2 linked regions of the Arabidopsis thaliana genome follow. The gene in region 1 interacts genetically with each later gene. Each region holds a gene or a part of one and is shown on either strand. Other genes may lie near its edges. The genes, in order: EER5 and ERS1.

Evidence for each region.
Region 2: of EER5 (region 1) and ERS1, a change in one rescues a mutant of the other (synthetic rescue), as found in Arabidopsis thaliana (one study listed by BioGRID).

What each region holds. Positions count from the first base shown.
Region 1 is NC_003071.7:8,465,022-8,471,262, reverse strand, and holds EER5 (proteasome family protein), read left to right. Parts: upstream 1-2,117; 5' UTR 2,118-2,193; coding exon 2,194-2,361; intron 2,362-2,965; coding exon 2,966-3,102; intron 3,103-3,191; exon of another isoform or gene 3,192-3,212; coding exon of another isoform or gene 3,213-3,220; coding exon 3,221-3,314; intron 3,315-3,420; coding exon 3,421-3,510; intron 3,511-3,609; coding exon 3,610-3,675; intron 3,676-3,762; coding exon 3,763-3,852; intron 3,853-3,941; coding exon 3,942-3,998; intron 3,999-4,098; coding exon 4,099-4,160; intron 4,161-4,242; coding exon 4,243-4,330; intron 4,331-4,443; coding exon 4,444-4,520; intron 4,521-4,855; coding exon 4,856-4,930; intron 4,931-5,002; coding exon 5,003-5,108; intron 5,109-5,207; coding exon 5,208-5,339; 3' UTR 5,340-5,573; downstream 5,574-6,241. Other genes in the region: CDA1 (cytidine deaminase 1), read left to right, coding at 1-665; AT2G19550 (alpha/beta-Hydrolases superfamily protein), read left to right, coding at 5,732-6,241. UniProt on the Arabidopsis thaliana protein: Involved in the regulation of ethylene response. Probable TREX-2 component required for nuclear RNA export.
Region 2 is NC_003071.7:17,083,821-17,089,375, forward strand, and holds ERS1 (ethylene response sensor 1), read right to left. Parts: upstream 3,507-5,555; 5' UTR 3,260-3,506; intron 3,025-3,259; 5' UTR 3,000-3,024; coding exon 2,094-2,999; intron 1,999-2,093; coding exon 1,630-1,998; intron 1,550-1,629; coding exon 1,283-1,549; intron 1,205-1,282; coding exon 1,077-1,204; intron 987-1,076; coding exon 815-986; 3' UTR 501-814; downstream 1-500. Other genes in the region: AT2G40935 (PLAC8 family protein), read left to right, coding at 1-143, 232-396; BZIP17 (Basic-leucine zipper (bZIP) transcription factor family protein), read right to left, coding at 4,003-4,430, 4,769-5,555. UniProt on the Arabidopsis thaliana protein: Ethylene receptor related to bacterial two-component regulators. Acts as a redundant negative regulator of ethylene signaling.

The sequences.
Region 1 (6,241 bases):
TCCTCGTCACCAATCTCACACTCAACGGTGAACGTCATCTCAATTTCTTCGCCGTCTCCGCCGCACCATGTGGCCATTGCCGTCAATTCCTCCAAGAAATTCGCGACGCACCTGAAATCAAAATCCTTATCACCGATCCAAACAACTCCGCCGATTCCGATTCCGCCGCCGATTCAGACGGATTCTTACGTCTCGGAAGCTTCTTGCCACACAGATTCGGTCCCGACGATCTTCTCGGGAAAGATCATCCTCTTCTTCTCGAATCTCACGATAACCATCTCAAAATCTCAGATCTGGATTCGATTTGTAACGGAAACACCGATTCATCCGCCGATTTGAAACAAACGGCTTTAGCGGCGGCGAATAGATCGTACGCGCCGTATAGTTTATGTCCATCGGGAGTTTCGCTGGTGGATTGTGACGGGAAAGTGTACAGAGGTTGGTATATGGAATCGGCGGCGTATAATCCTAGTATGGGACCAGTACAGGCGGCGTTGGTTGATTATGTGGCTAATGGTGGTGGAGGAGGATACGAGAGGATCGTCGGAGCGGTTCTGGTGGAGAAAGAAGATGCGGTGGTGAGGCAAGAGCACACGGCGAGGTTGTTATTAGAGACTATATCGCCGAAATGCGAATTCAAAGTGTTTCATTGCTATGAAGCTTAGAGAATCATTTAATTATCCGAAAAATAAAGGAATTTTAAAAAAAAAGGAATAAAAAGAAAATGAGACTTTTTAATTCTTAAAAGTGTTGAAATTGACGGAAAAAAAAAAAGTGTTGAAATTGATGTGATGGATAACACATAGAGAATAAGAAAAGTTTATATTTTTAAATTTGTTAAAAATGTTTATTGTATTAAAAAATTAAATTTAATACAATTATTATGTTTATGGAGTATTGTTAAAAAAAAAATTGTTGATATTAAATTTTTCCATTTTTTGATATTTTTTTTTAATATCCCCTTTGAAAATTTAATTTCGTCTATAAGGGATGGATTATGTGGATTAGATCAAATCGGCCAAATTTTATAAAATTGACAAGGTTTTCAAAAGTCTCAAATCGAATCAATGATTTTTTTTTTTACATGTCAAGTTATGATGTTTCTTTTATGTACGCAAAAAGGCAAAAATAAATGAACGTAATGATGGCTTTACACATTGAATTTGTTGGAATAAAGGTTCCAAATACGAAGTATGAGAAAGTAGAGAATATAAGATGGTCCACATGCAACTCTTACTATGAGTGGTGAACAATGAATCTAAAGATTTTTAGATTAGTTTCAAATGGAATGCTTTTTAAATAAAATGATATATAAGAGCATATTTTAGTAGGAACCTTCATACCAAAAATAAAGTAGGAACCTTAAAAACCTCTCAAGTTTCTCGTTATCTTCAACTTTTAGCATTACACATAAATACTAATCCTGGATTGACTTCTCTCAACTCAAAATTTCTATTAATTGTGTGTTCAAGAATAAAATATATTGATAATTATATGATTAGCGTGATTTTTATTTATTTATTTATCATGTACATGTAGTAGAGGCCTTTGCTAACTATGAAAGAAGGGGAATATCAATGGGAATATATAGAAGTGTGAAAGTATAAATCACATTTGGAAACAAGTGATTTATTTGATCAGTTAATTACTTTTGACAAGTTGATTATATTCATTTCTTCGAGTTTTTGGCAACTTGTTGAGTTATATGCATGGTATAAATTGATTTCATGTCCCTTCAAGAAAGTTCCTCACGTCACCATCGGGCTAAGAAGACATATTTACATACAGATGTCAACATTACGGACGATTACATGAACTTAAAAAACCTTAAAGCAAATTAATCATGATCTATAAAACGATTATATGAACTTAAAAACTCTAAAAAAAATTCATGATCAGTACCACCGATTACAGGAACTTTAAAATCCTTCCAACACTAATGATATTTTCAAATCCTTTACAAATAAATTTTCAAACATTTTAATGATTGTATTTCATATGGGCCTTAAATGGCCCAACTAACATATGTCAATAAGTCTAATACCAGAAAAGACTAGTACGTAGTAACAATTTAGTTAATTACCAAACGCCGTCGTTTTTCTCAACTCCGTTATTTCCTTTTTTTTCCTGGCGACTTATTTGATTTCGTGTCTCTCTCAAAGAATAAGGAAGACGCAGACGAAGAAGGTGACAATGGCGTACGTTAGTATGGGTGAAGCTCACCGGAGAATCACTGAATACCTAAACCGATTCTGCGACGCCGTTTCGTACCAAGACTCTTCTACACTTTGCCGTCTCCTCTCTTTCTCTTCCAATTCTCCACCTCTTCTCTCACTCGCCGACGCACTCAACGTCTTCCAGGTACATATATTCTCTGTTAAATCGAGACCCATGATTCAAATTAGCAGCTTGGAGTATGTTCCTGTGATTAGTGGCATGATCCTTGTAAATTGGTAAAGTTAGGTTCGATTTCAAATCCAGGATGCTTCTGATATGTTCCGATTGGGTTCTCGTATGAATTGTGAACACTAGGAGCATGGTTTTTATGTTAGCAAAGTTTGTAACTTTTAGGTTAAATCGATTCAATGTAAGATCCTTAAGAGTATGATTTTCTAATTGGGTCCTCCTACTTCACCAATGAGTATGAATTTCTGAATTTAGGGCTCAAAACACTAGGAACATTATCTTTATGTTAGCAAAGTGTGTATCTTTTAGGTTCAATCAATGTCAATCTAGGATCCTCCTACTTCACTAATGAGTATGATTTTCCAATTGGGTCCTCCTGCTTCACCAATGAGTATGAATTTAGGCCGTGAAAGTGTCTCCTATTGAGTTGTTGTAGTGAACACTCTATGTCTATGTTTGAGTTTATGAGTATGGATTTTAGATTTAGGGTTTTTATTTATATGTAGAGAGCTGTGAAAGTGCTGAATCCTTTGAGTTTTCTTTTCTTTGACTGATACAGGATTCTAGCAGTTTGATTAGACAGTCTGATAGATTCTCTGAATATGGCGAGATTCTGGCTCATGTGTTTCGTTCTCTACAAAGTTACCGAGTTGGGAATCTAGTCGAAGCATACCTTGCTTTCGATAAGTTTGCCAAGTAAAGTCTTCTTGTTCCTCTCTGCTCCTCTATTGATGTCTAATATGATTTCAGGGTGATAAGCTTTTTTTTTTGTCTGTTCACAATGTCTGATATCTGATGGATTCTATATGTGCAGTGCATTTGTTCAGGAGTTTCGTAATTGGGAATCTGCTTGGGCATTGGAAGCTCTGTATGTAGTTTGTTATGAAATTCGAGTTCTTGCGGAAAAGGTAGTATCTCATTTGTATATCCCTTTTTCAAAATCTTAACCTTGTCTGGTTTCATTGTGTCGAGGAGTCAGTTCTGAAAGCATGATTTTTCCACATGGAATTGCAGGCTGATAAAGATTTAACTTCTAATGGAAAGTCTCCAGAGAAATTAAAAGCAGCTGGGTCTCTTCTCATGAAAGTTTTTGGAGTTCTTGCTGTAAGTTTTCCCTTTGATCTATCTATATATCTTCAGGAATATTAGTTTATATTTGTGTTCAATATTTTTTCCGGCTCCTTATGTAGTTTTAAACTATAGGGGAAAGGTCCAAAACGAGTCGGAGCATTATATGTGACTTGCCAATTGTTCAAGACCTACTTTAAGGTGATATGCTTTCTGGCAACAGTTTGATATTTATGATTTAACCATTAAATGGAGTACTAAACAGGTATCCCCAATTTTGTATTTTAGCTTGGAACCGTCAATCTTTGTCGAAGTGTAATAAGAAGTATCGAAACTGCTCGGATATTTGACTTTGAGGAGTTTCCAAGAAGAGATAAGGTCTGGCGCAGTTCTCTGCAAACAGTTTTAGTTTTTGGCCTCCTTATTCGGTTACTTATTATCTTCTGTTTATTCTTCGCAAACACCAGGTTACATACATGTATTATACCGGCCGATTAGAAGTCTTCAACGAAAATTTTCCTGCTGTGAGTCACTAAGAGATTTTTTCTTACCATCACAGTTCATTTCGTAGTGTCAATCCAAATATTGATAGTAACATTTAATCTCTTTTTTTGGATCTTGCAGGCTGATACAAAGCTATCATATGCCTTGCAAAATTGCAACCCCAAAAGAGAACGAAATATAAGGTCTGATTCTGGTTTTACTCTGTGATTACCTTACTCTTGCATTGCGTTGCTTAATCAGCTAATGTGGCCTTATGTGAATCAGGATGATATTAAAGTATTTGGTACCGGTGAAGCTTTCTTTAGGAATTATACCAAAAGATGAGCTCCTGCGAAATTATAATCTGCATGAGGTAACGACTTTTCTGTTGTTCTATAAAATTTTCTTCGAATCTATGTCAAAACTTATTTCGCATCTGCTGAGTGATATCATATCTCTCTTAATCCTATTTCTCTACGTGTCCAGTACACAAAGATTGTGCAAGCTCTGAGAAAGGGTGATCTAAGGCTTCTCCGGCATGCTCTTCAAGAACATGAAGATCGGTATGTATTTCTTTCGATATCTTGCTTTTCTCATCTAATCCAAATGATAGAGTCCTTGTGGATACTCTAGAGCATGAGTATTGGAATTAGTATAGGCTGCTTGTAGTGGATTATATAGCTCTGCTGACAGGTCAGTAACACCTGGTTCTTAGGTAGAGAGCTAACAGGTTAAAAGAAAATTGGGGCAGAAAGAGTTGGGATGTTCTGGATTTGTCTAGGGGTTAGGATTTGCAGTTGGGTCGAGAGTAGAGTTGTGCAAGTCTCTATATGATGAGTATTTTGATTCTATCACCGAACAACTTAATATCTCGATCTAATACTCTTCTTTTATACAGGTTCTTGAGGTCGGGTGTGTATCTTGTCTTGGAAAAGCTAGAGCTCCAAGTCTACCAGAGACTCATGAAGAAAATGTAAGCAAAGACAAGCTATGATACCATCCAAGATTCTTGAGTTTATAACTCTTATTATTATCAATGTTTCAGTTATATAAACCAGAAGCTGAGTGATCCAGCGAGAGCTCACCAGCTGAAGCTTGAAGGGATTGCCAAAGCACTAAGATGGCTAGATATGGACATGGATCTGGACGAGGTTTGTTCTACAATACCATCCCATTCATTGCTTTTGACTTCTTCTAAAATTGAAATCTTCTATAAACTCACAGTTGTCAAAATAATACTGTATTTGCAGGTGGAATGTATAATGACGATATTGATATACAAAAACCTTGTGAAAGGTTATTTAGCTCACAAGAGCAAAGTGGTAGTTCTAAGCAAGCAAGATCCTTTCCCTAAACTAAACGGGAAGCCTGTTAGCTCATAAGTCTTCACGTGTTATTTTTTTTGTTGTATCAACAAACACTTTTTATTTTCTAATTGTGTGTAAAATTCATTCAAACAAAAAACAAAAACTGTTTTTACAATAGAAATGTGACTTTAAAACTGTGGAGTTTTCACCATGGTTGAGGAGTCTACTTACGAGTAAGGTCCAAATTTCCACTGAATATCGACATGAGAAGAATAAGTGATTACGAGTTTTAGTTTAGCAAAAAAAAGAAAAAGTGATTACGAGTCTCATTCGTATCTCCACAGAAAAATGCAATTTGATCTTTGGCGAGAGTTCCAGTTCCATACTTCCATTACCTTATTCTTTTTACATCAATAGGGGGCCTCATTGTTTTCTTCTCTACGATTACCACCTGAAGCAAAAAGACGATGAAGCCAACGAAGATCGTGATTCCGAACCGCCGCAACGAGAAGCTCGTGGGTCTGCTTCACGAAACTGGATCAAAAGAAGTTGTGGTCTTATGCCATGGCTTTAGATCGGACAAGACCAACAAGATTCTCAAAAACGTGGCTACAGCTTTGGAGAAAGAAAAAATCAGCTCTTTTCGTTTCGATTTCTCTGGTAACGGAGATAGTGAAGGAACTTTCTATTATGGTAACTTCAACAGTGAAGCAGAGGATGATCTGCATTACGTTATTCAACACTTGTCCTCCTCTAACATCATGAACCGTCTAGTTCCTGTCATTCTTGGTCATAGTAAAGGTGGTGATGTCGTTCTTCTCTATGCTTCCAAGTTTCCCGATTATATCCGCAATGTCGTCAATATCTCTGGACGTTTTGATCTTAAGAATGATGTGCGTCTCGGAGATGGTTATATAGAAAAGATTAAGGAACAGGGGTTTATTGATGCTACAGAGGGCAAATCTTGTTTTCGTGTT
Region 2 (5,555 bases), 8.6 Mb from region 1:
TAACCCATTGCATCTCCTGGGCTTTGGTCAATACCATTTGCTGCTTTGCAACTAATGGCGCATTGCTCGGTCTACCGGGATGCTTTGTGTCATGTTATGCTTGCGGGTACCGCAAATCATTAAGAGCCAAGTACAATTTACAGGTTAGAATTTCTCAAACGACACATATGTGGATAATACCATTAGGTATGTATGTGGCGCTTCTGACTGATTTAACATTCTTTGATTCAGGAGGCTCCATGTGGGGATTTTGTAACACACTTCTTCTGTCACTTGTGTGCCATTTGCCAAGAATACAGAGAGATTCGAGAACAAAGCAGTGGTTCATATCCTCTTGACATGAAGATGGCTATCACCAATGCCCCCTTGGCTCAAACCATGGAATCAGCTAACTGATCACTTTGTCTCATTGAGCTTCCTTGTTTATTTTGTAGAAGACATTTTTCTTTTCATCGACTTTTGCAATGTATTTGAGAAGTTTGATGAGTAAGTAAAACTTTCTAAGGTAATTTATCATATATAAAAAAGAATTTGTGAATCTGCCACAACCACAAAATGTTGCTCTTTTCGTGAAGATTTATATCGTTTATTTAGTAGTGAATTCCAAAACATATTCTCTAAAGTAATGTTCAATAAAATATAGTGAGAACAGATAAGGTACCTCTCCCCGTATATAGGATTTTTATTTTACATATTACATCCAACAAAATCCAATAAGTTAGATCACACCGTCCGGTCATGTATTTTCTTCTTTCTCTTGCTGCTGTGTAGTTAAAAAGTCTCACCTCAATACAAGTCTTTCCAACGTAATGTATCACCAGTTCCACGGTCTGGTTTGTGATTTAGCTGCAAGATGTAGCGCCATTGAACCACTGCTACTGCTTGGACCGTTGCAGATACCAAGCCTGATGATGAACGAAGCTGTGCAGCCTTTCTCTAGGCCTTCACTTTCTATCCACATGTATCCTCCCATTAGCCCGACAAACCTAACCAGAGACATCCATCAACAGAAACTTGCCTTTTAGCTATTTGTAACACCATCTGCTTATAACTTATATATACTTTTGGGTTGTTACCGTTTACAGAGAGCTAGCCCGAGTCCTCCACCGGAATGGTTCCTCTGAGTTCCGGTCCGAGGCTGTACAAATTTGGTAAAGAGCAAAGGAATGTCTTGTGTGTGAATTCCACACCCTGTGTCCTTCACCTGCACCATGATTATAACAGTAAGAACACAGTAAGAAGCTTAACTTTGTAGTTTAGTAATTTGTAGATTGGGTCTAACCTGCACACATAGGTAGAAGTGACTGTCACTGAGAACTGGAAAAAATTCTGGAGATGGTAATTCTTGTAAGGACTCGGGTTTCATGATAGAGGCTATTATGGAGATGTAGCCTTCCTTAGTAAATTTCACAGCGTTGCCCATGATGTTAAGAATTGTTTGCATCAGACGTTTCTCATCACCAATAGCATAAGTTGGTAAGTCTGCAGACAGAATCAGATTCGTTGATAGTTTCTTCACTGATGCGATTGGCTTTATCAAAGAGATGACCTGCAGATTCAAAGCGCCCATGTTATTCATGTAAGACATATATAATGGACTTCACTGGTTAATCAGGGGGATTTAGTTACCTCTTCAAAGATCGCTTGTAGACTGAATGGTTCATTTTCCAAGAGTAAGCTCCCATCTTCCAATCTCGAAAGATCCAGAACGTCGCTGATTAGTGTAGCCACAAGATTGCTGCTTTTCAGTATTGTCTCGATCATAACTCTTTGCTCTGGAGACAGCTCAGTCTCAAGGAGAAGAGAAGAAAGAGAGATGATGGCATGCATCGGTGTCCTCATCTCGTGGTTCATAACAGCTAGGAAATCATTTCGAGCATGTACTGCCATCTCAGCCTCTTGACGAGCCTTGTCTAAAGCAAAATTCTGCTCCATAAGCTGGTCACGAGCGTGCATGGATTCTTCCAAAATTGCAGCATGTGAGAGAGCCACAGCCACCTGAATGAAGTGAGAGTCAGGGGACAAAACAAAACACTAAAAGCTGGTAAAGCAACTTGACACACAACCAAACATATACAAGTAAAGAGATGGACCTGATCCGCCACGTTTTCTACAAGCTCTAACTCATGGTCTCTCCATTTTCTTGCACCATCGGTTGGGAGAATCAGGACCATGATAGCGTAACCTTTGCCAGAGAGATCCGACCAGTCACTGCCTTGGAAATTAGAGAGATGTAAAAGAGGAACACGGACAGAAACAACCTCAGGAGGTGAATATCTCCCAACCGGAGGCCCAATCTTAGCCAAAGGACAAGAATGAGGTATGTGCATAGCTTGAGCGCTATTGAAGAGTTCATTAATAATCGGGAGATTTATCGGCACACTGCTTCCAACTTGTATTTTATGACTCAAAGTATGAGAAAGCTGCAAATATAAACCACTTTGAGAAGGCATCCACAACGCACATTCCTCAAGACAAAGAGTTTTACCAAGCTCAACAAGAGTGGTTCTTAAAATAGTATGCCTATCAAGAGTTCTTCTAATTCCATGAGTAAGCATCCTAACATGCCTACCAGTCTCCTCTTGTGTTAAAATAAGACCCATTTCTCTATCTAACTCATCAGCTTTCTTCTTGAGAAACAATTCCCTGTTCTTAACACTGAGAAGATCAGGAATAATATGAACCAACATCAACGCGGTAGCACACGACACAACCGCGCAAGAGACTTTAGCAATAGTCATGACAATGGCAACGGCTTTGGAATGCATGAAGAACATCCATAGGTTGATGAAATGCGTAGCTCCACAGAGAATGATAAAGGCTCCAAACTGCATAAGCACCCATTTGTAAGGGAAGAAAGCAGACTTTTGCACGAAATAGATAAGCTCGAGTGGGATTGAGAAGTATGCAAGAGCAATCAACGCATCTGAGATGTATTGGTACTTCACTAACAGATCATCTTGATTCACATGCGTCTCAAAACAATCGCATGACTCCATTTTTGGAGCTCTGACTTGTGTTGACCTGGTCAACAAAACTCAGATATCAGTGGAGACTAGATTTGGACTAGAGCTATGGAAAAGAGATACAAAATCTATCCAGAAAATTGAATCTACAAAATGAGATTGATTCCTCGATAACACAACACAGATCGATCAGATGAAATGTTACTAAAGTAGTGAAATCAATCTTCATCGATAGATAGATCCGATCAGAAGAGAATAAATAGAAAGTTTGTTATCCCGAGACGGCACAGTACCTGGAAGAGAAGGATTCATGACGGCGGAGCTATTGGTGGTGTGAGCCTCATAGCTTTGGGTAATGATGAAAAAAAGAAAGTTCAAGTTCGTCTTCCTGATTGATCCGAGCGTTATGAACTTGAAGAAATGAGAATCCAAGCGTAACAGTGTGATAAAGAAGAAACCAATGAGAGGTAAAAGTTTTTGATGATTTTTTTTTTGCAAAGAGGGAAGTTCACGTGTTATAGGCCTACTTGTTACATTTAAATAATAATATTATTAGCTCTCTTTTTCTGACAATGAAATAAAGAAATTTTAAAAGTGAGCTCAGGTTCATGAATCTGAGGGTTCATGCTAATCCAATTCTCTCTCCGTCGACCTTCAGGTAAAGACTTCTTCTTCTGTCACTTGTGTGCTCATATTCTCCTGCTATCACCGATGCCCCCTTGGCTCAAACCATGGAATCAACTAACTGATCACTTTTGTCTACTTGGATTTCAGCTTCTATTGTAGAATGACATTTTTTGGTCATCGACTTTTGCAATGTATATGAGAGGTTTGATAAAACTTTCTAAGGCTATGAGTTTATAAAAGGTAAAAAAAAAAAGTTACAGCATTCGGATTCTACATCTGGAAACAAAAACCGGACAACGGTATTAGCTAAGGATATTACGTGATACCAGAGAGCAGGTATTTATTCTTTTACATACAAAGCCTATATGAGAGAAGACCTGCTGATATATGTTTCAATCCTCATATGTCTTCAAGTGGTCACAAGATGAGGAGCTCCTGATCGAGGTAGGACACAGGAGTATGTTACATACTTTGCACTGTCCAGAAGCACGACTACAAAAACTCGAGACAGTGATTTTGGTCCCCCAATCATCCCATCTATATCTCCATCACCTCCTTCTCTGGGATCAACAAGCACAGATACAACCATTGATGAAGCAGGCTTGATTTCTTTGCTACTGCTGTTTCTTTGGTGCTCTTTCGTGAGGTTAAAATCTGATCCTGGGAGTGGAATGGGAAGACCACGAAGGATTCTTCTGTTCTGTTGCTTGTGTGTGTCTGTGGTGTTCTTACCGTGTTCAGCAGAGACGTTGGTAGCTGCAGGAATGATGGCTCCAGAGGTTGAGGATACATCAAACTGAAACACTTCAGTGCACATCCCTGAACTAAACATGGGACCTACAATATAGTCATTTAACAAACAAAAAAGGTGTTATTATTTAGTGAACAAGAAAGATATAAACGCTACTACTGCGCTTACAGCTTCTGCCGAGAAAGATGAAGAAAAATATACAATATGAGTAACAATTTCACATGTTCCTTATTAGTGTTTAGTATCTAATCCAGATTATACAATACATCTACTCATGACCAGAGATTTGCTGAAGGTAAGTTAAGCCTCATTAAAATGTTCTTGTGTCTAATATCAAGATATGATAAGGACTAGTATACCTACAATGCCTGCCTACATAACCAAGTCAAGGGAACAGAAAGTAAGATCAAAAACCCATGATTACCTGCAACACCTTCACGGAACCATTGCTGCATTTCACCGTTGGCTGCTTTTGTTTTGACTTGGTCTTTCAGAGTATCAGCAGAGCCAGAGGATAGAGCTTTCTGTTTTTCAGCCTTAGATCTATAGAGATGCTTAGCCAATTCCTCTGTCCTTCCCACGTCAGGTAGAGGCAGTGCAGGGGTATAATCTTTAGAGATCATCAAGTCAGCTTTCCTCTCCTTTGATTCAGAAGCCTTTCTCGAAGCCACGGCTTTCTCACTCGCCAATATAGAATTGATAATCAAATTCCCATCTATCTTCACAAGCTTGTCATTCCTCGGAACAAAGAGTGATGCAACTAGAGGCTCACTACCATTTCCAGGAGTGACAGAACTCTCTGTTGCAGATATATTTTTCCTAGCTCCTCGATCAGAATCTCTCCCACGATGCATCCCATTACTATTAGAAACCCCAGTACCAGCACCACTACGAGATGTATCCAAAACTCTATCCCTATGCTGACTGTAAATCTGGTCAGTAATATAATTAGATCTATAGTTCCCATAAAAAGCACCACTAATTCCTCCATAATTAACGTTCACAATTGGAGCTAATGCACCAAACAAAAATAGACAAAACAGAAGACCCAGAAAACTAATACTAGCCACCTTCTTGGTCTTAGCTTCACTCTTCTTACTCTCGGACTTCTTAGCCTTGGATGTTCCAAGGGTGTTCTGTGGTTTCAACCTAGGAATAGGAATCAAAGGCACTTGAGATCCTTGTTGCTTCACCATATAAGGAGGACAAGG